Lonchura striata: one gene and its partners. The protein of the gene in region 1 purifies or fractionates together with the protein of each later gene. This does not show direct contact. Links are inferred from orthologs where the notes say so. Each region holds a gene or a part of one and is shown on either strand. Other genes may lie near its edges.

Region 1 (7,669 bases):
GCATGGCTGTATGTGTGGCTCCTAAGAGAAGTCTTGCTGAGTTCCACCTCTCTGAGATACTAAAACCCCCTTCTCTAATGTAAGCATGCTGAGAGGAGACAGAGGGCAGCTCTCCAGGTGCTTCCTGAGGGAGAACTGGCTGAACAAGCAGCCCAGACACTAGTGATCACTCAGCTTCCCACCTTGGCTCCAGCACCTCCACACTGTGCAAAACTGCGCTAACCTCTTCCAAGATGGGCAGGGAGAAAGGCAGTTTTGTGGTCAGAGGAAGATAAAATGCTGGGATTCCTGGTGTCTATTTCCAACTCTGACTCAGATTCCTTGCCAGGTTGCCTCATTCACCTACTACCTCCATATTCTTGCAACTCAACTGGGGGAAGAGTCACTCCTCAGGAGGCTTTGCTAAGGACTTGCTGCACTGTACAAGAACCTTGGCAGAACGGCAGGTTCTCCACTCCTGCCACCCATTGCCACTGTGGCACCTCCCCAGAAGGAAAGCTCTGTGTACATCCTCTGCTCAGACATAGGGTGGCAGGCAAGGAACTGCCTTACTTTCAGACCCCTAACCTGCAGCTCAGGTGTCAAGTGACATTGCTGGAAAACAAGCAGCACCCCTCACTTTCTGCCTGGACAAAACAGCATTCCTCCAGAAAAAAACCCAAATCACCTGGCAGTCACTAAGACTCACTGTCTTTGCCCAGGGATACTTTTGGGCACTCTGGAGGGACCTGCTCACCTCTCTGCCCTGCTGAACCTGCACAACTGACAGGGAACTTACCCTCTCAGAAGGTTTCATTATGGGCTTTCCCAGGCCTTGTTCCTGCTAGTGTCTCCTGCTGTTGCAAGCCTTTACTGTCTCTTCCTAAGCAGTTAATTCCACCATTAAGACACACTGTTCATCATAGGGCTGTCTCTAGGGACAAGATGACAGCGTTTTCTGACAGTGTGTTCTGACAGCAGGCAGTCTTGACTCCAGAGACAGAGCTTTCAATTCTGCCTGGAGCAGCAGGGAAAAGGAGCCTGAGCTGAGAAACAGAACAGATAAGGGGAGCTGTGTGGATAAAGAACCCAGCAGGTCTCAGAATTGACGGGCACAGACTGAAAAGGGGGCACCCTCAGAGACAGCCATGACATGCTGGCAAAATTTCCTGCAGAAAAACAACAGTGAAACAGCAAGGAAATGCTTTGCACAAGCCAAAGCAGAGTGGGCTGCAGAGAGAGCTTAGATGGCTCCTCCACATCCAGCATCCCAACATCTTGCTCTGCAAGCTCATGAAGAGCCCTTGTGCCTCTGCACCATCAGAGAAAAAATCTGACACAAATGCCATCTCTGTGGCCAGGTGCTCTGCCTCTCTGTGTCTGCAGAGACTGAAAGCAGCTCTACACAAAGCTTCTGGCTCCCTACTCAACAGAAAGAGCTACCGTGTGATGGCCAAACCACAGTCAGGTACTGATACACCCCGAGGTCAGCAGCTCCTTTGCTCAGCAAGGGAGCTCCCTCTGTTCTCAGGGACCAGGTGTGACCAGCTTTGCCTCACATGGTGTGGCCACCCCTCCCTGACACAGCCTGTGAGTGTGCTGTGCTCGTGCACAGGCCACAGCGTGAGCACAGCTAATTGGACCTGCCTCATCAGCACGGCAGGCACAGTGGTGAGCCCCTGAAACTGCTACCTCCACATCTGGCAGCAGCACATATGCCCCAAGGTTAATTAGGCACCCTGAATCCCTTTACCAAGAGGGGCTGACTTGCTATTCTGGCATTCCTGTAGCTCCCAGAGACTTAACAGAAACAAGCCATTCACCCTGTGCTGGATTGCTACTCTGAACCAACCTGCTCTCTCTCCTGAAAGGTCTCTCCCCCTTTCAGTGTCCTTCTAGGTATTAGTTGCTTCTGGAGGACTTCCATTCTTGTTTCTCCCATACCTTCAAAATGTAAGCACAACATTCACAGGGAATGTGTAATGGATTCTGTAGCAGCAGTATCCTTCTCTCCCCATTTTTTAAGAAAGATGAAATCAGCCTCTTCCTGCCAGCCAGTGACCCATGCAGCCCAACCTGCATGTGACAGCACCAAGGCTTTTCTGCCACTTGCCAAGTTACGCTCATTTTAGTCCTTAGCAACAAACCGGTGAAGCTCAATGTGTTTGTTACAGCAATTGCACAATGGCCATGAGCTTAGGAAAGACCTCCCTATCCTTTTGCTCAAGGATACACAAAGCAATTTAATCCTTTCTGATGTGTGGTTCTGTACAAGGTCAGAAGGGCTCAAGGACACTTGCCAGCCCCACTGTTTGTGAAGGTGGCTTTGTCAAAAGAGCCACATGGCTGAAAAAAGCTGGGAGAAGCAAGTGGGGAGGAATTCTCTTTGTATGTCTTCCAAGAGACAAAGCTTTCTCCAGGCACTTCTGTAACATGACATCAGGTGATAACAACAGTTGTAAGGTTATCCTTCCCCACGTATATCCCAAATATGTTGGAGACTGTGTAACTCTTCTGCAACATGTTGAATATCATGTAGTTTAATGAATTTCTACAAATTTCCTTGGCAATTTCTTCACTCTGTGTTACATGGGCCACTGGGTTACCTTTCTGTTTTGCCAGCTCATCTCATCACCAAGACACCACATAGCAGTTCACAAACCACCATGCCTTGGGAAAGACCTAGAAGCCACCCGTGTGTGTAATGTAACATACACAGACAGCCCTTCTCGGCTCTCAGAGCTCCTTCCCAAAACATGCTGAAGCCACTGCCTACACACACAAAAATATCACCTTATCCTTAGAAAGTCACAGTCCTGAAGCTGTAACTTCCCTAATGCAACAAAGTCACCCAACTGCTGTTCGAAGGAGGAGGATAAATTATCCGACCAAAGCAAACGCCTCAAGTCCTGCTAGGAAAGGGGGAGAAACCACAGTGAGGGTAGTCTGCAACTGCCACCTCCTACGGTCCCTCAGCAAGGCCATGAGCTATCGTCCCACAGTCATTTCTCTGCCAGCCACACCTGCCTCGCTCCTGGAGCCCCTCACCCACCGCACACCTCCTTGGCAGCTCCGAGCTGCAGGCCCTGCCCTACCCAATCCCACGTGCCCTGCCCCGCACGGCAGCCTCACAACCCGCAGACACGCTCCGTCCCGCGTCCCCACACCCTGCCCGGCCAGCCCAGCCCCACGCTCCCTCACAAACCCCTCCCCACACCGCCACGACCCGCCCGTGCCCACGCCCGCCCCAGGCCCTGCCCGGCTCCGCTGCCGTGCCCACGCCCAGTCCCGCCCCGCCCCCGCGCGGTACCTGCCGCCACCTCCGCGGCACGGCCGTCCTGCTGCCCGGACACGAAGTCCCGGACGGAGGCGGCGAGAGCCTGAGCCTCCGCCCCGGCCCCGGGCCCGGGCCCGGCCGCCGCCATGACACCCGCGCGCAGGGCCGCGCCCCGCCCCCCGCCTGCGCGTGCGCGGGGGCGGTGCCGGCGGTCACGTGCGCCCGGGGGCGGGGCGGCCCCGCGCGCACAGCGGGCCCCGCGCGCACGGGCGGGCGCAGCGCGGAGCCGGCGCGGCCCCGATGCCGAGCGCCGCCGGTCGGCCCCGCCATGGGCGGCTGCGTGGGGCGGCAGCGCCGGGAGCGGCCCGCCGCCGGCGGCAACACCCGCAAGCGAGCAGGTGAGCGGGGGTCCTGCGGGCTGGGCGCCCCCGCGATCGCGGGCACTGGGGCGGAGGGGGGTCCGGTGTCCCCCTGGGGGTGGTGCCGGGGGAACGTGGGCACCGGAGAGGTGCAGCTCGCCACGGGACAACTTCTCCCTCGCACAACCCCGGGAGCCGCTCTGTGCCCTCGGGGTTTCGGACCCCGGGGATCCCGGTTCGGTGCGGGGCCTCGGGAGCGGACGGGAACCGCGGCTCCCGTCCCGGCGCCCCGGAGGCTTTGCGGGGTCAGGGCTGGGGTGCGCAGCGGGTCCAGCCGAGCCCTGCCTGTTCCCGGCTCCTCCCGGGAAGTGCCGTCCTGGGAGGACGGCAGGGTGGCGGCTGCCCCGGTCTGGGCTCGGCAGCGTCCCCCGCGCGGCGCGGCGGGTCCTGCCTGCCCGCGGTCCGTGCTGTCCCGTTCTCCCGGCTGCTGCCGGCGGGGGCTTCGGGAGCCGCGGGTGGGGCGGGGAGCGGCCGCGCCGGTCTGGGAGCGCCGGCGGGGCCGGTGCAGCCTCGCGGCCCCCGGAGTTACCGAACACCCGGGTGCCGTGAGGCGCTTCCCCGTGATGCCGTGCCGGAGGGTCCCGGAGGCCGCGGGGATGGGTACGGTGGACTTTCGGCGGAGAAGCCGTGGGCTGGTAGGATGAATCACGCCTTTCCTTTGCCGCCTCCCCGGCCGGTGCCGTCGCAGCCGGTAATTACCGTGTTTATGGCAGAGCGGTAGTGGGCGGCGGAGAGGAGGGGCAGGAAGCGTGTGCCCGGGACGGGACGCCCCGGCCCTCGCCTGCAGCTGGCATGCGGGAGGGAAGGGCGTTTTCCGTGGGACGCTGCCCGCCACTCCGGCAGCACGTGCAGGGTGCCGAGGCTGCTGGGCCGGGCTGTGCCCGTGCCGTGGGCAGCCGCCCCCGCCGCGTGGGGCTCCAGGTGTGCCAGCCTGCCCCGGGGATGCCCTGCTGGGATGTACTGGGGTGATGGCCCCCCCCACCCCGACACGCTTTGTCCCCCAGCAGTGCCTTCTTGCGGGTATGGGTGAGGCCTGGGGCTCCTGGCTGGCTGTTCCCTCAGCTTGGTGGAATGTGGGGCCATTGCCTTGTAGCATCAGGATGTGATGGGGGATGGGGTGAGATCCCAACATCTGGATCTGTGTGATCCCCTCTCGTGCCAGGCAACAGCTGGCTGCAGAGCCTGTGACTCCATCCCCACTTGCTCTCCTGGGATGGGTCGTGGTCCCTCCCTGATATACCGCTGTCAGTCACTGCTGCTGCTTTCTTCCAGTATGTCCCTTCCTGGCAGAGCAAGGCTGTCCCTTGTGCCAGGTGCCCTGGCTGCTTCCTACCTTTGTTTGCATGGTTCCACCAGCCCATGGGAGCTGCTCAGCAAGTGGTGGGGGTGAAGCAAGGCTACAGCTGCTCTTACCAGCAGTATGGGGACAGTGCCCTGGGCCAGCAGGTCCCAGTACACAAGGACCTACCATCAGCAGGGATGGGGGCTCTGCCTGCCCACCTCTGCTGCCTCAAGGACTCTGCTAAGCATCCCACCTCCCTGGCCAGCTCCTGCTCTGGCTGGGGCTTGTTGTGACCCCCTGTGGAGGGGTCCTTTGATGACTCCCAGAAGCAGGTGACAGCATTGTCCCCAGGGTGGCCAGCTTACCACAGCAGGAGCTGGGCATGCCCGTGGCACGCAGCATCCCAACCCTGCCTGACTCGGGAGTGGACCAGCCAGCACTGCTGGAAGCAGTGGTGTGTGCCTTCTGGCTGACATCTTCTCTGGGGCCTCCAGGACCTGTCATCTGAGGCTGCCTAAGGCTCCTGCAGGCAGGGAGCAGGCCCAGGGCAGGGAAGCCTTTGGGTCACATCCTTCTGCCCGGGGGTCCCTCACGAGGGCACTGCAGGGTGCTGAGCCACGGGCAGGGAGCTGCAGGCACAGGGCAGGAGGCAGCAGGCTGCCAGCCAGATCCTGTTGGCTCGAGTCCGGGCACAGAGAGCGGATGGACCTGTCTGGTGGTGCTGCTGTGGAGAGTTGCACAAGGGGCTAGGAATAGAGCAGCAGGAGGTGATTAGAAGGTGCAGGCCCAGCTGGGCGGTAGCAATAAATAGACTAGGCTTAAGCCCCTGCCTACCTGGGCAAGGCTGCTGGTTATGTCTGTACACACGAGGCAGCCACAGCCGGTCCCTGCCACAGCCGACCCCCACAGCTCCTTTCCTGGGCCAGCCTTTGTTGCAAGCAGAGCTGGGGGAATGGTGCTGACTGGCAGTGCTGGCCAGGAGTCCTGGCTGTGGGAACGTGTGCCCCAGCCTGGTGGCCATAGCAGTGTAGGGACATGATCCCAGACATGTCCTTCAGGCTGGCTGTGGACACTTCTCCGCTGCCCTCCTGGGGCAGGTGTTGCCTCTGACCTTGCCATGTCCTGTGGTGCTGCAAATCCCTCTGGCCCAGCACCGTGACTGCTGAATCGGCAGCACTGGCTGCAGTCGGCTGCCCTTGCTCCTCCAGGGTGTGGGCAGGATGGATGCTGCCTGCCAGGGATTCTTGGTGCCCAGCCCTGGGGTAGCTGAGCACCTGTGCCCCTTGGGCACACCCTGAGGTGGGTGCTTGCTGGGAAGCAGATGCTGTGCTGGCTCTAGTGGTCCTGGGTCGGGTGAGGCAGGGTCGGTACAATCAAAAAGGTCACGTAGCGCTCTGTGTCACCGCACACTTGCTCAGGAGCAGCTGCCTGGGCACCTTGGCTCAGCCCACAGCTGGCAGTGGTGGCTGTCTCCGGTGCCTGGGGTGTGTGGCATCACCTTGTCTGGCAGGTCGCTGTGTGGGCACAGGCATCTTTGTGCCCAGCTGGAGCCTCACTTTCCCCTCATCCTGTCCCCACAGGAGGGGTGCTGCCGGGCCAGCTCAGGGAGGGGGGTGACAGGAAGGAGCTGTTATCATTCATTGTCCCCAGCTCAGCTGGGAGTGACAACTCCTTCCTGCCCCACGTGTCCGGCCTGGCTGTGGGACTGATGAGATGGGGCTGTTCCCACAGGGCCACAGCCCAGCGTAGTGAGGGCATGATGCTCTGGGACTGGCACTGGGGTGCCTCAAGCCCCTGGGCAATGCTGGCTGCTGAAGGTCTGTGGGGATGTGGCTAGGAGCTGTTTCATGGAGAGCCAGTTCAGTTCAGCTCGTTGCTGGGGCACCTGCAGTCTGTCAGTGATGCCCTCTGTTCCCCTGATGCCTGGGATGCTGTCTTGCCTGCAGCTGGTCCCTGTCATCCCAGGGTGGGCAGAGGGGACAGTGAAGTCCTGACCCCCCTTTGCTGCAGCTCAGCCTTTGTAATCCCCTTCTCGCTCCGACTCACCAGCTTATTTCCTGGCTAATTCCCCAAGCTATAAATACTGCTCTGCCTCAAAGGGCCCTGAGGCCCTGTGGCCACCCTAGGGGGCAGTGGCTGGTCCCACAAATAAGGAAGCAAGAGCCCTTGTCCCCTCTGGGGGCAAAGGGTGTCACTTGGGGGAACAACTGCTGTGGGGCCAGTGGGATCTTGGGCCAGGCTTGCTTTAGCCCCGTTACCCCTGGCTACACTGGGGGCTGTTGTTCACTGGACAGGGTGATCCCTCAGACCCTTGCTGGGGTGCGGGAGATTCCCAGGAAGAACCTGTGGTTATGGGGAGGTGGGAGGTTCAGGACCTGAGGGAAAACCCTGTCCTTTGGCTGAATATCCCCCCTCTGCAGGGCGCAATGAGCCCCTGAAGAAGGAGTGTCCCAAGTGGAAGAGTGACTACCCCATGACAGACGGGCAGCTGCGCAGCAAGCGGGACGAGTTCTGGGACACGGCACCAGCCTTTGAAGGCCGCAAGGAGATCTGGGATGCCCTGAAGGCAGCTGCCTATGCTGTAGAAGCCAATGACCACAGCCTGGCCCAGGCCATCCTCGATGGAGCCAGCATCACCCTGCCCCATGGTGAGGGTCAGCACTGGGGGTTTGCATGGGATGTGTGCTGAGTGCCCCGTATCTGGGCACATGG
Region 2 (7,754 bases), about 16 Mb from region 1:
CACAATTTTATTTGCTAGTTCTTGCACCTTTTCTTGTGTCAAGTTATTGGTTACTGATTGCTGGAAGATGTCATGAAGAATTGTCCCAACGAGCATTTGGTGAGAACCTGACTCAGAGCCCTGCAACAAATGTCATCAGACATGAAGATTTATGCCCATTTCATGCCAACTTCTCTGCCAAATTTCTCTGCAATATTTGCTGCACATCAAGACCTACACTTATTTAACTATAAGATCATGACAGCTTTCACCTCACTAATGGTTATCTAGCCAAACCTGCCTGTGAGAGCAGCTGAACTGAAGTGGGTCTCCTATCCCAACCCTGACAATGTCGGGATGCAATCTCTATGTGATTGGCAGGTGAGAAACAAAGGCACAGATTAAAACAAAACTTTGAGAAAGTTTTGCCTGCAGGCGTTTCCTAATGCAAACACAATCTTTACAATCTTACACAGATTTCTTGCACGAAGCAGTTTCCTGTCTGTTACCAGCTCACAGCAAAATCATTCCATGTATCACCAACATGGCTCAGAAACCCATCAGAAGGGCTGGGCTCTGGAGACTCACAAAAACTGAAAGTCACTACCAAATAGCTGAAAACCTAAACACTGTGGTATTATGGATCTCTTACAGACCAGTGAACTTCACTCACAACAAGTGGATGGTGTTATCCCAGTCAGGACCCTGTGCATTGACTCAACAATCATTTTATCCCCCTTACTCCTCTAATAGAAGGTTGAAGACCATTTCATAGTCTTAATCTCCTGTACTTAATTTTCTTGTTCCAGTCACAGGTTCCCAGCCAGGCTGTTTACCACTCTATTAAAATTTCCTTATTCATTTGGATTTATATTCCTACCATGTCTGGAAGTTTTCATCAGCTGAAACTGGCAGCTGTTGCTTCCCTATTTATCAGCATATTTCACATGTATCAGCAAGGATACTACAAGACACTTTGCCTCTTTCCAAGATCAAGCAGCTGAATTCAGACTCCAGAGTCAGCCCACACCAATTAACTGAATTAACTAAATTTTTCAGAAGCTGTTAATTTGGCAAAGTGTGGTTATATTTTCTTATGGATGGCAACAGGCAAATCCCTCACAAAGGATTCATATCCACACAAAATGCAGCAAGAGATTATAAAAAAAATTATCAGAATTATAAGTGGAAAGCCCAGTTCTTTAGACCAGTAGCCGTTTTAAGAGTACTGCATTATTTCAGATGCAAGTCTCAAAAAAACAAGAGAAGTTCAACCAAAGACAGCTTCCACCCTAAATTATTCTATGTTGCAAACATTATGAATTGCTAATTAGGACATTTCTAACAGCCAGATTTAACACTGGGCTAGGCCACCGGTGTGAGTGGAACAGTAAATCACTGGCAGTGTGGAATCAGCACTCACCCTGAAGCGCTCACTCAGCACTGCCCTCCTCATGCAGCGGATACTGCTGGAGATGGTGGTGCCCGAGAGCAGCAGGTCTGGGTACAGGACCAGGTATCCACTCTGGGCACTGATGACCCAGGTGCCAGAGCTGCACTCCCCTTCCAAATGAACAATGTCCCCTGGAACCACCGGGACAGACTCCCTGCAAGGCAATACACCCATACAACCAATGTTTGCAAATAACAGACACAACGTATTTTCTTACACATTAACAGAGCAGATTCAACATTCTTTGAAATGCTGGGTTGGGTTCTTTTAAGAAGTTGACTTAAAGAAATCCTGAAAGTGAATAAAGGCATTTTTACAATGACAAAACTGCAAGGTAGCAATGCCTACTCAACATCAGGCCTCTCAAGATGATATCCATTATGCTAGCATACTGATAATATCACATTAAACAAAGGTTCTTTCAGGATCCCATATCACTTTTAAGGCCGTAAAACTCAACTCACAGACAACACAAACAAAATTTAGTTAATAATCCAATATTTCATTCTCTTTTCAAACATCTATGTATCTGTGTGGATTACCAGCCACTCCTAAGGATGCACAGTTCTGTATCTTCCAGTGAGGGGGAGGCTGTAATTGTCAAGTGTTTCTCAGGGTCACTTCCATTTCTCTGTATTACGCTGACCTCCAGCACTCGGTATCTGTTGTTCAGCCCATTCTTCAGGATCGTATGAGGTAGGTCAGACACTTTCTTCTGAAAACTGAAGGAACACCTAATTACAAAGAATACTGTACTCTTTGAAAATAGCCGACCTACATACAAAAAGAGAGATAGCTTCAACCATAAACCAAATTTTACTCCCCTTCAATTTTTATAAATATTTTGTTTGGGTTTTTTTTTTTTCAGTTCTGTACAGGTAAAGAGTAAGAAATCTCTATAAATATTAAGCAGTTTGCTATTTATTACATTTTTGGGTCCACATATCCATAAGCACTAGTAAACTAATTATAACTGTACTGCAAACACTGTGCTTGTGAGAAAGCTTTTATCTCCCTGCGCGCATGAATTCCCACAGCCACACAAACACCTCGAGCACGGAGCGGTACGTTTTACCCATGACCTTGAGTTGTTTAGAAAACTCATACTGAAGGTTAAGTTTCCAATAGCCAAACCATGAGACAGAGCGGCCAAACCAGCGCTCTCCTGTCCCGAGTGATGCCTGGGGAGCGATCGGGGCACAGCGAACGCCAGGGCCCCGCGGCGCCGTGCCCAGCGCGAACACCCGAGGCAGCGCGGCTCCCCCTCACCATCCATCCCGGCGGCTCCAACTCACCATCCATCCCGGCGGCTCCCGCCCACCATCCATCCCGGCGGCTCCCCCTCACCATCCATCCCGCCGGCTCCAACTCACCATCCATCCCGCCGGCTCCAACTCACCATCCATCCCGGCGGCTCCAACTCACCATCCATCCCGGCGGCTCCAACTCACCATCCATCCCGGCGGCTCCCGCTCACCATCCATCCCGGCGGCTCCCCCTCACCCGCTATCCCGGCAGCCCCGAGCGCTCCCCAGGCCGAGGAAGGCCTCAGACCCCATCCCGCCTTCCCGCGCCCGGAGCCGGGAGCGGTTTGCAAGTTCAAACCCCGCGCTCCCGGCCGTCTCCGCCCCGCTGTGGCTCCCCGCATTCTGCCACTACCGCTCGGCCATGGGCAGGTCCCGTGCGGCGCTCGGCTCGGTCCGGCCTGGCCCGGCTCGGTTCGGCTCGGTTCGGCTCGGCTCGGCCCGGCTCGGCCCGGCCCGCACTCAGCGCACCCAGCGCCCCCGCAGCGCCGCCGCGCGCTCCGCCAGCCCCGCCCGGCGCGCCCCGCGCGGCCAATGGGAGGCGGCGGAGGGGGCGGTTCCCACGCGCGCGAGCCGGAGGCGCGAAGCGGCGCTGAGGGCGCTGAGGGCGCTGAGGCGCACCCGGCCCCACTGCCGCCACTGGTGCGGTGGCACAGGGCCATATTAGACGTGCCTTCCGCTCCCAATTCACTTATGGGCCAATCTGAGCCCGAGAGTCCAGCCTTTCCCCTCAGAAAGGTGTGGTCTCTGGCTTTCTGAGGTGGCACTGACGTTTCGGATACACAGGTTTCACTCTGCTGCAGAAATGACAGCTTTGGCCCATGGCTAGACATCCCAACAGAAGAATCGAGTTCAAATTGACGAATTTTAAAAGGTGAGAACATTCTTAGGTTAGCCGTTTCAGTTTTATTTGGGATAGTCCTGAAATATATGCAGTAAATTACATTAATGCTGCTTCCCACTGCAACATTATTCTCTAACAGAAGCTTAATTATAACTTATTAGTTCCTTGTTGATAATATTAAATGCAGTCATGATGTGGCGTGATATTGAGATTATATAAATGTTTTGAACACTTGCTAAACCTTTGTACTGTAGTCTTGGATGCTGCCTATCTATCTCCCATACACCAGAAAATACATATTTCAACAGAACAGGTTTATGAAGTACAAAATATGCTTGAAATATCTTTTTTGAAGTTATCTGCCATGCAATCAGTCTGGGGAGTCTCTAGGGAGAAAGTTGGACACAAGTGTTCTGAAATCAGAGATTGTGAAAAATGTTTGCCGTTTAAAGATCCATCAGCATTCTCCACATATAACTGTAAATTCAGGAATCAATATTAAAATACTTTCATACACTGTTAAATTTTATTTTGAAAAACCTAATTCTGAAAATACAGCACAGTTCCATCAAGTAGGTATGTTTTTCACATTCAATACCAGACACAAGAATTTAGGAGATACTTTTTATGTTCTCTTCCTCTCAGGCATAAACATGCTGGGTTCTGCTTTATTCTGCCTTAAAACTGCTTAACTTATCATGACATGCCTCAAATACATCCCTGGTAGTAGAATTAAGATGTAAAACTCTTAACTTAATAGTCCCTAACAGTATACACATGAAAAACAAGTGGCTTATCTGCTCACATAGCAAAACAATGTAGAAAAAAGAAAGACACTTTAGTTTTCCTAATACAGTGGATTTATCTCTACTGCAAGAACTTTAAAATGTAAAAGTTCACTGTGATATTGGCTAGCTTTCCTTTATGTGAAACTAAAGATCAGATGAAAAAGCATATTTGTTGTCACTTAATTGAGAATTACAATGCTGTGCCTATTAGGGCAAACAGATCATTCCAGAAACATGTATCCCTCCTGGCTGCAACACACACAAATCACACAAAGATATTAGTTCAAAAATTTTAATAAAATATATCCTGATACATTTCGTTCTCTGTATTCATTGCTATACTGTAAATTTCAAATAAATACATACTTTAAAGAAACTGGGGGGAAAATTGAGCCACATAAGTTGGTACTGAACAAACAACTGAAAATCCAGTTTGTTAAATTTGTCAAAATTAAGCAAATCAGTCTTACCATCCACCACTTAATATAACCCTTGCCAATTCTTAGAAGACACTAAAATATGTACAATAAATAAATAACTTACATGAAGTAAATGTTTTATAGTTTCCTGAATCAAGTGAGTAAAATCAAGAGTACCAATGCAAATCATGTATAAAATAATTCCTTCCAGAAAAGGAATTACAGGAGGAGGCAAACATGCAATAATCTACTGCATACCATGACTTCAGGAACAGTACATACACATACCTACGGAGCCAATACAATCTTAATTTTCTTTTCTGTGTGAGGTTGCATGTGGTCTATATGCCTAAACAGCAACATGCAGTCTTCTTTGGCACCATGGTTTAAGGTAGTTTACACCAGCTAGTACTGGGAAGTACATAACATACTCAGCCTTGAACAAAGCAAACCAAGACATGCAGCTCCACAGAAAAGTTCTCTAAGATTAGGCCCTACCTGCCACAAGGACATCTTTTCTAGCACTCATCCCTGTAAAATCCCCCTGCTTTTATTTGTGTAGTACAGCATTTTCTTAGAATAGAATGTACCCCAAGGAACTGGTTTCCAAATTGCAAGATAGCTAATACTGCTAAATACATCTTGCTGGTTCTAGCTGAAATGGCTGAAGATACTTTCCTGGGCAGCAATCTGTTCTTGCATATGGAAAATTTGTACAGAGCAAGAATAAAAGGCTGCTTAAAGTGTGCTCTGCCAAGTTCAGCTTCTACAGACCTAGCAAGAATCTGAATGCCAAAATCATTGCATTATGTTCAAATCAGTTTATTCCATTTAATTTTTAAAGAACAACATGCCTAATTACTAGCTTCAAAAGCAGCATAATCAGCAGCATCTAACTCCTGGAATGGTGCTACAGCTAAATAATAACAGCTTGGAACCTGTATAAAACGTGGGTGTCACCTCCAAAACTGTGTCATTCCTAATATTCATCTAATGAAGCCTAAAAGATCAAGTACAAAAAAAAGTGTTTAGATCTAGCTAATGTTTATTTTAATGTGTCACCTGGTTTGGACTCCAGGAAACTAACCACATTTTGGCAAATAAAGATGTCAGACAACAGCAGGTCCACAGTAACAGAAAGCTTTTTTTTTTTAAACTTCAAGTCATTTATTCATCAATATCATTTGAGGATTGATAGTGTAGTTTTACAGAAAAGTCTTCTAAAAGAAAGAATCAGTTGAGGTGCAAGAATTGTTTCATAAGTTCGTAAGTGGTGAAAGCCACGGCCTGGGAAGGAATACAGCGAATGTAATTCAAGGATAGCCCACGGTACAGTCCTCTTCGTACTCCGTGTTGTTGATACACATATTTCAGTGTCTGCACCATGGTACTAGAAAAAGAAATCATTTGTGGATACACATCTTCAGTATCAAAATCATGTTCTTTAAATATAAGATACTTTTTACTTGGGTTTTAAGAGATCCATGCAGAAAAACCCATGGCATTCCACACAGCAAAGCCACGTATGACTAAAAAGCCACATCTGACTAAAAAGACAACCTGGACTTCTGCAACAAATTTGGGCCCAAGGACTGGGAATTGGAAAGAGGATGGTGCAGTCCCAGCTAAAATAGTGTTGGCCTGAAAACACCTGCCCTACAAGACATATTACAGTATTTTACACCAGAACAGCTCCACACACTGTCTTGCCTAACTGGCAGGAAAAGAGCAGAAAAGCATAAATTCCATTTACAATTAATAACCTGAGTATATAGTATTTTACCTTTTTAAAAGCAGAAATTGAACTGTATGTGCAAAGAGAACTTTCTTCACATACTTGTATTGAAACCAAGAAGATATGAAATAGAAAGCACTTGAAGTGCTTGGTATTTCCATGCTATTGAAGACAGTGCTCTTGGAGAGCATCTTCCATATGTTCCAAAGCTTTGACACTTCCTGCTTGCTTTATCCTCTCATCCTCTAAAGACAGGCCTGTGTCTCTCCTTCAGAGCACATCCCTCTATATGGTCACATCAAAATTGTTAAATGGGGAAGCCTCAGGTCTGTAAAAGCAGTCCTCACAAATGCGAAAAGTAAAAAGAACAATGAACACATTTTTCTTTTAAAATCATCAGGAGTGGAAAATAACACAACCAAAAAAAAAAAAAAAAAGCTAGTAAAGAAAACAGAACAGAACCTTCACACTTCACAGTTAAGCAATATCAAGGTTGTTTGTGAAAGGTCACTCAGGCTGCTCTCGGTAGGATCCAACCTTCCACACAGGAGGTTCACAGTGAACTGCATTGGATTCAGGCACACACAATTCCACAAGATGGAAACTAACCAAGAGAAAGCTGTCCAAGAATTGAAATTGATTGAGACAATTTGAAATTCAGAAAGTTTCTCAAGATGAGACCTGATTTAATACTATTAGGATTTTTAAGTTATTATGGTGCTTCCACTTCTAGTGGAGGAACCTCAACAATGTGTAGGGTGTGGGAGACTACTGTAAGTGCAAAAAAAAGCTCAAATAAAATTGTATTATGCAAAATGATCTCAAGGAACAGAATCTGCACCATTAAAATACACTCTGAAATTAGTAAATTTCAGTAGAAGCATTCAGTCTCTTTTTAAAGATCTTGCTGGTATTAAAGGTAGTACAAGTTGCCTTAAAATACAAAAAACTATTTTACTAGTAGAGATACAGGATTACTAACAAGGGTGCCATATTATTTCAGGTATTTTTTTAATCCCAGGTTGAAAATGGTAGCTTTTGTCTGCGGGGAAACATCTTTATTAAAAGAATGAAAAAATCAACAGCACAGTAGTTCAGGGGGTAGGGGTAGTTGTTTTCTTATGGTAGTTGCTTTCTTTTAAAGTTTAAAATTAAGAACTGAACTTAGCTCAGACATCCAAAAACTCAGTACAGATGAAAAGGAAATACTTACAGGCACTTTTCAGAGTCTG
Region 3 (7,301 bases), on another chromosome or scaffold:
TTTTGCAAAGCACTGACGTTTTCTAACCTGCTGGGGAAAGAAACAGTGTAAAAATGCACTGGGCAGAGGGATGTGCTCACACTGGCAGTCCTGGTTTTGTTTCAGCTGAGTCTGGTTTAGTAACTGGGCATCAACACTTTAACCAAGTCTAAGCCACACAAAAGTCATTAAGGAAAGCTATAAAGTTTTAATTATAAAAGAATCTGTAGTTATTGCTGAGCTTTTCTGCTTTGCTTTCTCACTGTTACAAAACTTACAAGATTATAACACCATTAACTGGGAATAAATATATTTTGGGGATATTACTTGTCTAAATGTGAAAGATTTTAGGACAGGGTATAATGAACAATGTATTGCAACAATGGACTCTTTTGTAAGAAGTAACAATAAAAATGAACAAAACCCTGTCACTCTAAGCTGTGACTGTGATATGATTCACTTATTTCCCACACCCTCCTCTGTACCATTAATTGGATTTGAGAGTTTGGTTGAGCTACACCCGGATTATTTCACTGCCCACAGACTCTGCTCACCTGCTGCTCTGTTTCCAAAGGACGAATCCTTTTTCTGTCTGCTTGAAAATCATCGTTCTCACTGGCATGAAGAGATAACTTTTTTTTGGCAGACAGCTTTGAAGCTAGTGTTTCATTTTCCTTACATTCTGTAATTAATAAAATAAAATGGATATCCACTACTAGGGATGCATTAAATAAGTGCAACATTTTAAAATACAATTTCTAAAGAATAGTGACTGCTAGAAATACTATAAATGTATATGGTGTAGGAAACAGTGTTAGACATTTCTAGACACATTAACCACTGTACAGATTTCATATAGGGCAGAAGCATGGCTGTATTATGATGGTAAAAAAACATCCCTGGCTTGAAAGCAGCAGAATTTGATCTGCCTACAGATGACGTTACCTGTGTTTGTCAGTGGGCTTCCAGGTTTTCTGGAAGTTCCTGTATTAGGATAATTGGCAGAACAAGGAGCACTGTGAGTCCCACTTGCTGAAGCCTCGTTGCTCTTGGGCTGGGAGTGACACTTGCAGTGACACGGTGGGGACGGCTCTGCCTTCCTGTCCTCCTTGTCACACGATGAGGTTGGCACTGGTTTCTCTGGGGGACAAAGTCGTTTGTCTGTCATTAAACGCTCCAGACTCGACACGAGAGCCAGAGGTGCACAGCAGTGAAGATGAAGTTCAGGTACCAGTCAAGCTGGACAAGCTGTGGTCACCCTCTGAAGAACTGCAGTGCACAGAAAGGAAAACACCTCCCTCTTCCCATTCAATCCACACAACCCACAAGGATTTTCTTCCAAAGTTCCAACAGCCACATTCCCTTATGGGATCTAAACTCAGCTCAGCATTACTGCTTTATGCTGCCATTAAGGTGGTGGACCCAGACCTGAAACTAAATGTTTAAAGGCTGAAGAAAAAAAAAAATTCTTTTATATTTTGTAATAAAAGTTGTGCAGGTACTAAGACACTTACCATACAAAGCCTGCTGCCATGATAATGCAGAACAAAGTAATGCCAAGCTTTTGCCACTTCCCGTGGGGCTCTCCAGCAAACAGTGCTGCCTGCTATTCAAGCCTTTAACAATCTTTAAGGAGCATAAAAGAAACAGAATTAACAGAAAACAAAGCAGATGTTAGCTAATCTTAGCAATAACGCCCTAATGTCCAGCCTAAACTTTCCCTGGCACATCTTAAAGCTGTGCCCGGTTAAAACATTTTAAAAGTGTTTAACTATAAATGCAACAATCCATTTAGAAAAGTTCCTCAAAAAAATGAAAACTTCTTGGAATATTACTATACATAATTATTCTATTTAAACAATGTATTCCCCCCCTCTAAAATCTTGAACATTTGCATACAGCTGCAATTTCAGCATATCTAGATGAACAACCACATACTTCCACCACATGGAACTTGTTTCTTGGCATAAATGCTCCCAAATCCAAAATGTACCTCCCCATTCCCTAATCATGGCCCAGATACTGCACAGCACAGAGAACACTGAGGGGTTACCACTGAAATTCTCAACTGCAAGCTCTGAATTTAATGCATCAGCTTTCTAAATGCTGACAGAGATCCTGGAATTCCAAATACTGGAAAACACAAGCTCTTAGTCTGGCAAATGCCAGTGTAAACTCTACTCACAGCGTTCATCATGGCGAGCTGGGAGGGATAAGCCTTGCAGGGGAAGAGGATCTTCACCCCCCCAATTGTATATTCTGCCCCATCAGAAGGCATTGCCAGCTTTTCTCCCCTCTACTTCAAGTTTAAAACTGCAATTAAAAATACAGAATTAATAACTCAATGCTAGCAAGCAAATAAATAAATAAAAAACACCATGAGCTGCACACACCAGTTCAGATTCCATTAGTCAGACTGGAAATAGAGCCCAAATCCACGCAGGAACAGCATTTTAGAATATGAAATAACTAAAACCAGCCAGTTTTTTAACTCTAGAGGTCCATCAGCTTGAACTGCAAGATGTCATAAACTACAAACATACAGAAGCTTGCACATTTTATAATAATGAAAAATAAATCTTGACAATGACTTTAAAAATTAGATGCTTAAAACTTTCTTCCATAAATAATACAGCAATTAATCAGGAGAAAAGGAGCATCGCTTAATTTACTATTCTGTGTTTATTTCCTTGAATATCTTGGAATAATAAAAGACTGACAATTTCCCTGTGTTAAAAAGGTGAAATTATTGAACGAAAAATACTAAAGAGGCATAAATGGCTTTAAGTTACAATATTTTTGAACAACATAGCAGGATTTTTTTCTCATAGTTTTTCAACATTGACAAAGTAAGACAGCAACTTTAAACTGGCAGATTCTCTGGGATAAATTAACTCATCTGACTTTTAATAATTAAATATATACATCAGATGTATGGCACGATTCAGCTTCACCATCGAGCAACCCTATAGGAAAAACAATTCTAGCAAAAAACGACGGCTGACATGAGTTTACATCCAACCCCTCCTTCCAGAAGGAAAGGCCACCTCACTCCAAGGCTTTTCCCTAACCCATCCTGAGAGGAAGGCTCGCTTAAACGAGCAGAACTCCCCACGAAGTTTGCCCCTGAGGAGGAGGGAGGCCCGGGACACCGCAGGGACCCTTCGTGCTGTGACCAGAGCCACCAGGCACTCCCCGCAGCGACATCTCGAACCGGGCAGAGCCGCTTCGCTGCCCGAGCGTTTAGGAAGCGGTGGGGCCGCCCCAGCCCAGCCCACAGAGCAGCACCTGGGCGTTCGCTTCCTCTGTGCGCTCGGCGAGGCGGAGGCGCCGGCAGCCGCTTCCCCCGCGCCCCTCACGGCCCCGCACCTGCGACCCTCAGTGCCTCCGTCCTTCCCGCCTCCGCCCCAGCCAATCAGCTGACAGGAAAGCGCCGCGCGCCGCCAATCGGCACAGCGCACACTGGGGCGCTCCCGCCTTCGCCTCTGCGCGCCGACAGCCAATCACAGGGCGCGTCGTTGGCTTCCGGGTGGCACGCGTTGCTAGGCAACCGCGCTTTTTGAGAAATACTCAAATATTTATTATTATTATTGGCCTTTATCATTAGCATTACGGCTAATATAGTTCTTATTCTTTTATTTTGTTTTATATTTATTATTTTTATAATATTTTATATTAATTGAATTTATTATCATCATCATCATCATCATCATCATCCTCCTTGTGTTAAGCAGAATGCACAGAAAACGCCACAGAAAAATTAATAGTTTGGAAAGTGTCCTTTCACTACTGCCACACACAGCTCCTGTTCTTGTCAAGTGTTTCCCTCAGGTGAAATTTGGGATGAACATGGAAATTTAAAAGCAAAACAGAACACCCCCTTTGAACTTCAGTCATACTGTTGTTGTTTTTTGAGGTTTTTTTAATTTAAATACCACTACAGGATATAAAATTACACTTGGAACTGAGGAGAAAAAAAAAATACATACATTTAGATTATTTACATAATTTACATAAAGATGACAAAAATACACTCGGCAGGCAGATGGCGACGGGGGTGTTACAGCAGGAACCCTGGAACACAAACCCACGGGGGTTTCCCACGTTTCCATGTGGGGAATCCCAGCCCTGTACACAAAAGAACAACCAACTCCATGATGGAGCAGAAAGGATTTGGCCTTGGAATTACTTTGGCACAGCTGAAAGCTGTCCCTGCCCTCCCTGCCTGCACAGTCACCCTCAGCATCCATTTCTCTTTCCAATCTTATCCTGATGACAGCTCAAAACACCTCTGCACTCATTTCCTCAAGTCTTTTTCATCTCTTTTTTTAAAGTTAAAAACCACAAAACCATCTGAGCTGTGTTCTTTAAAATCCCATTTATATGGCTCATTTCTACTATCAGCACTTTTTTTTTTTTTAAGAAACTTTTAGACCAGTTTCAAACTCTCAGTGAAGCCTGGTTGATCTTTGAATGAAGTTCCTGATTTCATGAACTGAAGCTTTGAGCCATGGTTTGACACACAAATAAATCTTCTAATTTTCTGAAAACTCAGTATGATGGTACAAGTTTTGACACCACTTTTTCAAGTATTGCTTGGAGCACTTTATTCCAACTTGCTCTGCAAGGCCCTGGAGCAGCAGCTCATTCACCTCAAACTTCAATATCCAATTTTTCTCACTTATCATTTTGCTGTTTGCCCCACAAAATAAATATTCACTTTGCAGTGTTACAAAACCCTTTCAGGTGTGTTGCTGTGCCACTCCAGGAGCTGAGCAAGCCTGAAAATCACAATTTTTTTTTTGAAATTATTTACTGATCCCTTCAGCCTCAGAAGTTCTCACATAATCCTGTTGAAGGGATTTTCTTCTCAGCTGTGACTGATTCAATGAATGAAAAATGTGGACTTTGCTCCAGCTCCTCAGTCCACTTTCACAGCTTTTTCCAAATTTAGGCACCATGAAGAGAGGGAAAAGCTACAGGACAACTTTCCTGGAGTTTTTTTTTCCTAAATTCCGCTGACACTCATGTTAATGATTTCGATGATGGTGTTTTCCACACACTGGCACAGCTGAACGTCGGGGTCCAGGCTTGCAGTGTCCCTGGAGCAGCTTTTGCTGGAGAAATCTTTACAGAGCCCTGAGAAATCGTGTGGCTTCTCCTTCAGCTGCTGGAGACCTAGAAAATGCAGCAGGAGAGGCAAAATAAATACTGAGAATTGTTATTTCCAGCCATAAATATGAGATTGCAAAGCTGAGGCAGCACCATCCCATGCTCCACCAAGGTTATTTCCAGAAACACCATGTCAGAATCTGAAATACTCTTAGAACTTCAGGCTTGTAAGCTAAAGTCTAGTATTAAACACAAGATTTGATGTGAAACTTTAGAAAAAGCTTCCAAACTTAAATACTAGTAGCAAGAATATTTATTTATAGTTTACAGCAAAACCACGTTAAACTAAGTAAAAAAAAAGTTCAAAGTTTTAAAGTTTAAAATATAGAAAAAATAAAAGTAGTTACAGAAGCAAACAAGAAGTTTAAAATGCAGTACTGTTAAGTTTATGTATCATAACATAATTAGCTAAAGTCCATAAGACGAAACACTTAAAGATTGAGTCAAAAACGTAAATATCCTTATTAACAATATTTTATTAATCAATAACTCCTTAAAAAGAAAGGTCTTGTGACCTTCTAAATCAAACTATAATGATATAAACTGAACTCACCCTTCTTACCTGTATAAAATATTAAAAAAATGAACCACATCATCAAAACAAATTCAAAAGTCCCATCTCAAATTCCTTCCAAAACTCCCTACAAGTAAAGTATCACAATACCACGACATTTGTGTAAATAATTAAGTAAATTAAGTAAGTAATTAAGTAAATGACCACAAGGCCATAACATTTCTGTTTCATTTCCCTGTGCCTGACCCCTTTGGGGTGCTAAGTCCTTGACTTACGGGTGATGATGGGGTCGAAGTCTCGAGTCTGTGTAGCAACATCAGAGGCACAAACTTGTCCAATTTGGATCAGCAGGGACATGATGTCCTCATAGAGGGGGGGAAAGGCTTGGCAGAAGGACACCAGGCAGGGCAGGGTGGGCATGAAAAACGTGTAACGCTTGGACTGGGTCAGAACTGCCAAGGAGGAGGAAATGCAGAAGTAAAAATTGATTATTATAAAATCCAATCAAAAACTGTTACTTTTACAATAGCAATTAGACAGACAAAACTGCATTCAGCCTAGAGAAACCCTCCTGGCTCCCCCAGCAGTGGATTTTGGGGTGCCTGGGGTGGTACCTGTGAGCAGGGTCCCCATCACATTGATGGCCAAACGAGCCACGCTGAGGGATTTGGGCAGGGCATACTGGATACACAGGTAGGAGAGCAACTGGATGGCAAAGATCTGCCAAAGGAGAGAAAAGCAATGAAGTTACAGCATGGTTTACAACTTCTATCCAAAGCTCTTCACCACACTTAACAGTAAGTTAATATTCCCTGCTTTACCATGAAGGAAGCCAATTGAAGCCTTAACAAGAGCTATTATGATTATTTTTCTGCTGGTATGAAGAAAAATAACCCACACATATTTAATATTCATCCAAGTGTTTCAAAATCTCCCCGAGACTCTTGCTCCAACATTAATGATGAGCAATAAAGCAACACACAATGTGCAACACAAGCCTTGCAGAAGATATTTAGGTCTGATCCATTCTAGTTTTAATCTTAGCTGATCAGCAGTAACTTAATACCAGAAAGGATTAAATAAGAACAACTACAAAGTTGGTTTGATACAGAAACAGGGAATCTTTATTCCAACAAATTACAGTTGCCTTCAATGCCAGGCTTTAATTTAATGTAGAAGTGCTACAAATATTCCCTGAATATCCCATGCAAGCTAGAACAGGATGTTTTTAGTGTCTATTTATTCTCCCCCCTCAGCCAGCATTTACTCAGGGTTAGTAACCAGTGATTCCCCAGCCAGGGGAATGCTCAGTACCTGTTTTTCCAGTTCAGGCTGGGCAATGAGCTCAGGAATGAAATCCAGACAGATGTGCATGGATGGGATCCCAGCCACTGTCAGTGCCAGAAGTTCACATGGATAACCCTGTGGGAGTTAAGGAAAGAGGGGTGCCAATGTGTCACAGGTGTGTTTTAAAAATTCTGCTTCAACTAAGATTTTAAAGTACACTGCGTTAATGCTTTGTTTCAAAATTAATATATTTATAACTCCCTTTTGTCCAGAGTTTGCAGCAGGCCTGTAATGCCAAGGCAACAAGAGGCAGACTGGGTACAAACCCAGGGTTTGGATCATTTCTTCA
Region 4 (7,811 bases), on another chromosome or scaffold:
CAGCTGCTCAACAACAGCTCTGTAACTTGTATAATTGTACATTTATTATAAAAGACAGATATATTTATTATAAAAGACAGATAAAAGCACGTGTTGACTACCACCCCTGAGTGCAGAGGTGGTGGTACTCACTTGGGACATCTCCATCTGTGGCAGCAGTGCCCCAGGAGGACAGTGGTCTGTCAGGAAAGAGCTCCACCCCGTTCATGCGCTGCGCGATTTTCCGGGCTGAGATGGTGTCCTTGAAGTGCTCCCGCCAGGCCAGGGTGGAACACAGCAGGCACAGGGTCTTCCCTGTGCCTGTGGGGCTCTCCAAAATGCCATTTACCTTCTGTGTTGGAGAGAAATAAGAAAGGGATTTAAGGCTTCAGCAGGACAGGTCTTAGTGCAGCACTGCATGTCCTCTGCCAAGGAGCAAACACCAGCTGGCAGCCCCACCAAGGAACACCCACACAACAAGGTCTAATCAACTTGTAGGACCCTCTAATTAATTTAATGAGGTTCAATCAAACACCCAGAACCAGCCAACGGATTTATTTAGCATAGGAATTCAATTCTCCACTCTTAGAGCCATTCGAGTGTATCATGTTTCATTATAAAATACTGAATTAAATGAAAATATGAGAAGTTATTGAAAAACCAGCCCAGAAAGTGGCTCCCAGTTAACAGAGTGCTGGTTTCCTTTAGGATTAAGGTTGTATCCCATGGCAGTTTAGGCACAGAACTTTGTCAGCACTTGGAACACCTCGACCTACAGGATGTTATAATTTTTAAGTGTGTGACAATACTAAAAATTGGAAAAAAGCAGCAGCTGAGCTCAAGAGTGTGAAAGGAATTTCTATCATGAGCTCACAACACTTTGAGTTTGATGAGAGGAGGCACCAAGCAGATACCGTGATCCACAGCAGAGCCAGGTGGAAAGCCACAGTTCCCACAATAAGCTTGCTTGGTCCCTCAGAACAGGGACCATGAAGATGTGTCCAGGAAAAAAAAAAGATAACTACTGCGAAAAAACCATTTTATTATTTTGACATTCATTCATTAAAATTATCCTCTCGCACAGAAAATGGAAAATTATATAAATAGTCCAAATATTAACAAGATAAGACCAAATTCTTCCTATGAGGAAACACTGAGACAATTGGGATTGTTCAGCCTGGAGAACAGAAGGCTCCAAGGTGACCTAACGGGGGTCTTCCAGTTTCTGAAGGGGGCTACAAGAATTTACAAGGACCTGTAGTAACAGGACAAGGAAGAATGGAGTCCTACTGACAGAGAGTAGGTTTATATTGGAGAATAGGAAGAAATTCTTCACTGTAAGGGTGGAGAGAGCCTGACACAGGCTGTCCAGAGAAGCTGTGGCTTCTCCATCCCTGGAAGTGTCCGAGGCCAGGTTGGAGGGGGTTTGGAGCAGCCTGGGATGGTGGAAGGAGTCCCTGCCTATGGGAGGGGGTGGAACAAGGTGAGCTTTAATGTCCCTTCCAACCCAAACCATTCATGATTCTGTAATCTGTCAAGAACAGACTGCATGAATACAAGCAGTCTTTCTTCCTTTTCCCAGTTTAGGCAGGAACATCCCATCTATATTTCTACTGACTGCCACCTGCCAGCCATGATTTTCATTACCACAGAGTAAAATAAAAATACAAGTAAAAGGTCAGAGAAGATTTGGAAAGGAAGCATACAAAGCACGTAAAGAAAACTTGAATTATGACAACCTCTTCTTAGAGAAACCATTTAGTGCAGTTAGCAATGACACACAGTTGGACACTCGCTCACCTTTTGCAGGCATTCCAGCACCTTGGCCATGTAGGCTTCCTGGCATGGGTAGGGCTGGAAGGGGAAATCCACCGTGATCCCGTTCAGAGTGATCCTGGGCATGGCTCCTTCCCTGAGCTGCCTGCAAGGAAGGGCAGACCATGCTGACCCTGCTGTCCTGGTGATACCGTGCCATGATAAGGCTGGAAGAGACCTGGCAGTTCACCTCATTCAACCCCTGCTGTGGGCAGGGATGCCTTCCACTGCGCCAGGCTGCTCCAAGCCCCGTCCAACCTGGACACTCGGGATGGGGCAGCCACAGCTTCTCTGGGCGCCCTGTGCCAGGGCTGTCACCCTCCTCAGAGGGAAGAATTTCTTCCCAATACCGCACCTACCCCTGCCCTCAGCCGGGCTGCAGCCGCTCCCCTTGTCCTGGCACCCCGGGCCCGTGTAAAGCTTCGCTGCGGGCCGCTCCAGGCACGGCAGGGAGCGGCTCGGTCACACCGCTCCGGGCCGCTACAGCGACACGGGGACACAGCGACAGGGACACGGGGACACAGCGACAGGGACATGGGGACACTGTGACAGGGACATGGGGACACTGTGACAGGGACACGGGCACTCGGGACCGCCCGTTCCGGCCCGCGGTCCCACATCCCTGAGCTCCGGGGCTACCGTGTCCCCGTGTGCTCTATCGCTGTGACCCCGCGTTCCCGGGGTCCCAGACCCCTGAGCTCCGGGTTTCCCGGTGTCCCTCTGTCCCCGTGTCCCGGTGTCCTCGTGTCCCCCTGTCCCCCTGTCTCTCTGTCCCCGTCCCCTGTCCCGGTGTTCCCGTATCCCGGTGTCCCCGTATCCCGGTGTCCCCCCGTCCCCTGTCCCGGTGTCCCCCTGTCCCCTGTCCCGGTGTCCCCGAGTCCCGGTGTCCCCGAGTCCCGGTGTCCCCCTGTCCCCTGTCCCCGTATCCCGGTGTCCCCGTGTCCCCTGTCCCGTGTCCCGGTGTCCCGGTGACCCCGTGTCCCGGTGTCCCCCTGTCCCCTGTCCCGGTGTCCCCGAGTCCCGGTGTCCCCCTGTCCCCTGTCCCGGTGTCCCCGAGTCCCGGTGTCCCCCTGTCCCGGTGTCCCCGTATCCCGGTGTCCCCGTGTCCCCTGTCCCGTGTCCCGGTGTCCCGGTGTCCCCTGTCCCGGTGTCCCCCCGTCCTCTGTCCCGGTGTCGCGGCGCTCCCTCACCTCCCGCCGCGCCGTTCGGAATCCCCGCGCCGCTGTCACGTGTCCCCTCACGTGTCCCCTCACGCGTCCCGCGCGTCACTTCCTGCGCGCGCTCTCGCGGGAGCGGCGGCGTTGCCCCGGTAACGGCGGCGGCCATGGCGGGCCCGGCCCGGGAGCCCGGCGGAGCCCGGGCCTTGGTGTCGGGGAGCCAGCGGGGCCCGGGCGGGAGCGGCGCAGGCCCGCTGGGGGTTGAGCGCCGCCAGGTCTGCAGGAAGCCGGTTCCGCTCCCTGTGGTTCAGCCGGCCGGTTCCGCAGCCGCTTCCCCCGGGGGCGGAGGCCGAGCTTCGGCCGCGGAGGGGCGGAATATCGGCTGCTCGCTGGCGAAAAGCCGCGTTCCCGAAGCCTCCCAGCCCTGCGCCGGGGCCACCCGGGCCCGGCGTGTGTCCCCTTTTGGGCGGCTCGGGAGCGAGCGATGCTCGGTGCCCCCGGGCAGAGCCCGTGTGCCGGGCCCTGCTGCGCTTTGTACCGGCCTCCGCTCCCCGGGCTCCGCTCCCCGGGCTCCGCTTCCCCGGGCACGCAGCACAGGGCAGGACACGGCGGGGCTCTTTGTGGAACCCGCGGCGTTTGAGGTGGGAGGGATCTGTGCCTCTGTGCTGAGCTCCTGCCTTAGGAGCGGTAATGAATTCTGACGGGTCTCTTTTGTTAGGGGTGAATGTGCCGCTCCTTTGTTCCCGGCTTTTCTGCTCCCACCCTTCAGTCCCCTGCCAGTGCATCCAGGCACATCCAGGGTTTGTCGGCACATTCCAGGTGCTGAGGCCGTGTGGCTGTGGTGAACTGCTCTGGATTGATGGATTACCCAATTTTGTAAGAATCTGGTTTTAATAAATGTATAGGCATGGCTTACTTGTATCCCCAAATTTTGTAAAACTGTGTTTTATGCAGCTATATGAGAAAGAAGGCAGGAAGAAAATACTTGGTACTCATCTCTGTGGTTTATTGCCGTGTCTCATGCTGTCACTGCATAGATGTAGAACAGGATGTGGCTTCTTTTATTGTACCTTTTAAATGCTTTACTCCTGACCAGCTGCACAGCTTGTTTGTGTGTAGAAGGGTTCTGATGTTAAAAGGAGCAAACCTTAAACTATATAAGTTAAACATTGTGTGGTTTGTTCTGCTCCCAAACTCGTGGTACCTCCTGTGTCATGGTGTTGGGTCAGGGGAGCTCATGGGTGTTGCTGTTTTGGTGGCCAGCCTTTAAATTCCTTCAGCTGAACTTCCCTGGATCATAAGCTGTCTTGAATTGCAGGGAATGAGCTGGAAAATTGAGTTATTCCTGTGGAACTTTGTGTGCTCCACACAAAATTTAACAGCTGGTTTTGCTCATGTTTCTGACTGAACTCTTCACTGTGATACCAGTCACACATGATGAAGCTGCAAAAGAGATCATTTTGTCAAGATGGTGAAATGAGAATGTGGGATAACCTTAGGGGAGAAAAAATTATTTAAAACTCCTCAGAAATACATGGAATACTCTGTTATCGTTATTTCCTGTAAACACATCTTTCCCACGTGGAAGAACAATATCAGAAGTGTATCAAAGGAGAATATTTTGCCTTGTTGCAGTGCTGCTGGTAGAAGCAGTGTCGCCTGCTGAGAGAGGGGAGCTGGAGGTGAGCAGCCCGAGGCAGGAGTGGGCTGTGAGTCAGCAGGTGCCCGTGTCCAGCAGCAAACATGCATCAGCAGCTCCTGGAGGCTGCTCCTCTGCACCAGTGACCTCACCTGACCAGGGCTGCAGGCTGCCTCCAGCACTGCTGGCCTTCTGAAAACAGAACACAGGAAATGGTTGTAAGCTTACAGAGAAAAATGTATTCTTTGTTGTGGAGGTTTAGTGAAGCTGCAGCATCTGTTGGGATAAAGACATGATAAATAAAGGTGTTGGTCTCACACTGGATTGCCATCTTGGTGTTTGTCTGCCTAGATAGACCCTGAGTTCTTACAAAGTAGAGTTTTGGAGAGGAAGGAGAGATTTGAAAACTCTGTCCAAGCACCACAAAGAGTTGTGTGCCAGCCCAGCCTGTCCCTGCCAGCCCAGCCAGGAGGAACCACCCCATCTCCACTTCTCACTCATTCCTGGGTTTTAAGGTCTTGGATACACTATTTTTCATTTTCGAGAAAAAGAAACGAATGTACAAAATAAAAACCTTGTGAAAGATGGTCCTTTACCTCTGTGGGGAGAGGCTGAACCACACCAGAGACCCCAGCAAGGGGAACACTGATCATGTGCAGAAGTGCAAAGTGAATAATGGCCGTGTTTGTTCAGAGGCTGCCCAGGCAGGATCTCTTTCCAGATGAGATCCAGATGCTGCCAGAGGAGCAGGAATCTTCAAGAATGGGACAAAAGAGCAACGAGGGCCATCTGTGAAACTCCTGTGGTTGGCATGAAGGTTATTTACCTCTTTTCAGATCGAGGAGGATTGACTTGCCATTTGTTGTCTTTCTGAGTTTTTGTTTGCCCCTCAAATTATCTGATTTCTTTTAATCCTGATAGTCCAGAGCATTGCAGTCCATTTACTGTTGGGAAGTAACAACACAGCTTTCCACCTTGACCCTCCAAATCATTTGCTCCCCACTTCTCTCACAGTGTATTCCAGTGGGACACATAGCCATGGCACCTTTAAATCATTCCACACCCTTTCCTCAATAAAATTAATACAATGTGTGCTGGATTGATGCCAAAAGATCCAGAATGTTGCAAGAGGTAGTCAGACCCTCTTGGGACTGCTGGGAATATCAAAGCCAGAGTTCATCCTGAACAGAAGGGGGAAGTCACTCCACCAGCCAGGTGCCTGGGATGGCTGCCTTCGTCTGATCATGGCAAAGGTGTTTTTGAAACACACACAAGATAACCTGTCAAGTCCTGGAGATTCAATCCAAGGGGAAAGTAGAGAGAGTTGGAACTACAAAAAAAGGCTTGGACAAAACAGGGAGCAGTTAAAGGTCATTAAAAAAAGTCCCGTTGCAAACACATGGAAAACGTGTGGATAGTGTTAATTTTTTTATGAGTTAGACATTTTCTCTATTTTTCTTTTTTTTTTTTTTTTTTTTTCCCATGACAGTGTTAGGGCACTGACTGGGGAAAAAAATAGGAAAGTAGAAAAATCTCTAATCTTTCAGACTGAATTTAGTAGGCAGTGTCTGTGGCTTCTGCCCCTGAGCAAGCCAGAGCGCTGGCAGGTATTCCAACAACCTGTGGTTCTCTGCAGCAGCTGGAATTGTTTGGGAGTGTCTGCATTGCAGCGTGCCAGGAGATGTGTGGGTTTGGGAGGATTCCTTGCTCCCAAGTGTGTGTGTGTTGCTCTAAAAGCACAGAAGCATTGGCCCCTGGCAATAGCCACAAATGGAAATGATAGAAATTATAAAGAACAGACAGAAAATTATAAGAAAAGAGGTCCTGGTGCTTAGGGTGGAGGAGAAACCCAGAGAATTCTCACTGAAATTGAAAAGCTCAATTTTGCTCTTTCTCCTTTACTTTTACAGCAGTTTCCTCCCCAAACTGCAGCTCTTTTAGTGCCTCAGTGCTGGTGCAAAAAAAAAAAACAAAAAAAAACAAAACAAAAAAAAAACCAACTAATCCCATGCCTAAAAACCTGCTGGGATCCCTCCTCCCTTTGCTGTTTGCCTAAAGCTGCTGCAAGGTTTGGAGTTTGGGCTTCACACCTCAGCCCAGTCAAGCCAGACCCCCGACCTGGCCCTGCAGGTGAGGCTGCCTTGGAATGGCTGGTTTGAAAAAAAAAAAAAAAAAAAATCTTAATTCTGTTTTCAGCAAGGGAAAAAAACAGTTTAGCCCATCTCGAACAGACAAGAAAGGGAGGAAGAGGAGGAAAAAAATCCTCTTTTGCCCGCGCCCGGCTGGGTGTGTCTCGCCCCCCCCCGCCGTGGGGCTGTGTTCCTGGCAGGCAGGCTTGCCTGGGAGGGATCTGCCGTCAAAGCCTCCCAGGAAAGGAGGCCTGATACGCTCATTAATATTCTGAACTAGTGACCCTTCTTTTTCTTTCCACCCCTCGCCTTTCTCTGGGCGCTCCAGCCTCTCCCCGCCGCGGATGGCTGCAGCCCCCTCCAGCTGAGTCAGTCCTCCCTCCCCGCAGCATTGCAGCACCTCCGCAGCTCCTGCGCTCCCTCCTGCTCCTGCAGCACCGCTCCGCTCCCGCCGCAGCATGGCCAGCACCGTCTCAGGTAGGACAGGCGGCTTCTCGGGGGCTTGACATCAATGCGCTTCTAAAACCATCAAGTTTTATTCTATTTTTTTTTTTTTATCATTATTCTGAAGGTTTGGATTGGTTTTTGCTGCTTTTTTTTTTTTTTTTTTTTCCCCTCCGTGGGTTTCGGGGGAGTTCTGTGCTGAGGAGGCAGCTGGTATGGCAGCATTGTTCCCCTTCCTCCCCCATACACACACCCCTCTGATGCAAGATAGCAGGTGGGCTTTTTATTTTAATATGAATACACGTGTAATAAACTTGCCAATTTAAAGTATTGCTGACATTTCATTGTGCCATTAGAAGATGCTGCTACGTGCCAATTAAATCTTATTTTTGTAACATAGTAGAGTTTTTTTTTTTTTTCCCCCGAGAAAAAATTGCATACAGTGCAGCTGGATGCAAGGAAATCAGAAATTACATTTTGTTTTGTGAAGATCATGTGTTGCCTGAATGGGTAATGAAGAGGAAGACACGGGCAAGAGTCAGAAATGCCCTAAAAATATCCCCCAAAGCCAACTAGAAGAATCTGGATGTGTTTTTGTGTATTCTCCGGGCTTCCCAGCCCCAGATTTCTTGCACAGCTCACATTTTT

Evidence for each region.
Region 2: the proteins of MMS19 (region 1) and DNA2 purify together in Homo sapiens (affinity purification with mass spectrometry; 3 studies listed by BioGRID and IntAct, counting the BioPlex papers as one, with this or other methods). This does not show direct contact. The link is inferred for Lonchura striata from reciprocal best matches to the Homo sapiens genes MMS19 and DNA2.
Region 3: the proteins of MMS19 (region 1) and BRIP1 purify together in Homo sapiens (affinity purification with western blotting; 3 studies listed by BioGRID and IntAct, with this or other methods). This does not show direct contact. The link is inferred for Lonchura striata from reciprocal best matches to the Homo sapiens genes MMS19 and BRIP1.
Region 4: the proteins of MMS19 (region 1) and RTEL1 purify together in Homo sapiens (affinity purification with western blotting; 4 studies listed by BioGRID and IntAct, with this or other methods). This does not show direct contact. The link is inferred for Lonchura striata from reciprocal best matches to the Homo sapiens genes MMS19 and RTEL1.

Annotation. Positions count from the first base shown.
Region 1 is NC_134609.1:18,895,361-18,903,029, reverse strand, and holds the start of MMS19 (MMS19 nucleotide excision repair protein homolog), read right to left. Parts: upstream 3,426-7,669; 5' UTR 3,405-3,425; coding exon 3,290-3,404; intron 1-3,289. Other genes in the region: UBTD1 (ubiquitin domain-containing protein 1), read left to right, coding at 3,585-3,654, 7,378-7,605. UniProt on the Homo sapiens protein: Key component of the cytosolic iron-sulfur protein assembly (CIA) complex, a multiprotein complex that mediates the incorporation of iron-sulfur cluster into apoproteins specifically involved in DNA metabolism and genomic integrity.
Region 2 is NC_134609.1:35,120,333-35,128,086, reverse strand, and holds the start of DNA2 (DNA replication ATP-dependent helicase/nuclease DNA2), read right to left. Parts: upstream 3,177-7,754; 5' UTR 3,103-3,176; coding exon 3,092-3,102; intron 2,155-3,091; coding exon 1,975-2,154; intron 1,587-1,974; coding exon 1,403-1,586; intron 121-1,402; coding exon 1-120. Other genes in the region: SLC25A16 (solute carrier family 25 member 16), read right to left, coding at 6,021-6,177, 7,736-7,754. UniProt on the Homo sapiens protein: Key enzyme involved in DNA replication and DNA repair in nucleus and mitochondrion.
Region 3 is NC_134622.1:9,361,921-9,369,221, reverse strand, and holds the start of BRIP1 (Fanconi anemia group J protein), read right to left. Parts: upstream 3,394-7,301; 5' UTR 3,268-3,393; intron 2,293-3,267; 5' UTR 2,258-2,292; coding exon 2,165-2,257; intron 1,606-2,164; coding exon 1,494-1,605; intron 1,120-1,493; coding exon 925-1,119; intron 662-924; coding exon 534-661; intron 31-533; coding exon 1-30. Other genes in the region: INTS2 (integrator complex subunit 2), read right to left, coding at 4,988-5,157, 5,941-6,117, 6,280-6,385, 6,980-7,087. UniProt on the Homo sapiens protein: DNA-dependent ATPase and 5'-3' DNA helicase required for the maintenance of chromosomal stability. Acts late in the Fanconi anemia pathway, after FANCD2 ubiquitination.
Region 4 is NC_134619.1:7,176,219-7,184,029, forward strand, and holds the start of RTEL1 (regulator of telomere elongation helicase 1), read right to left. Parts: upstream 3,032-7,811; 5' UTR 2,985-3,031; intron 1,901-2,984; 5' UTR 1,882-1,900; coding exon 1,780-1,881; intron 332-1,779; coding exon 133-331; intron 1-132. Other genes in the region: STMN3 (stathmin-3), read left to right, coding at 7,178-7,196. UniProt on the Homo sapiens protein: A probable ATP-dependent DNA helicase implicated in telomere-length regulation, DNA repair and the maintenance of genomic stability. Acts as an anti-recombinase to counteract toxic recombination and limit crossover during meiosis.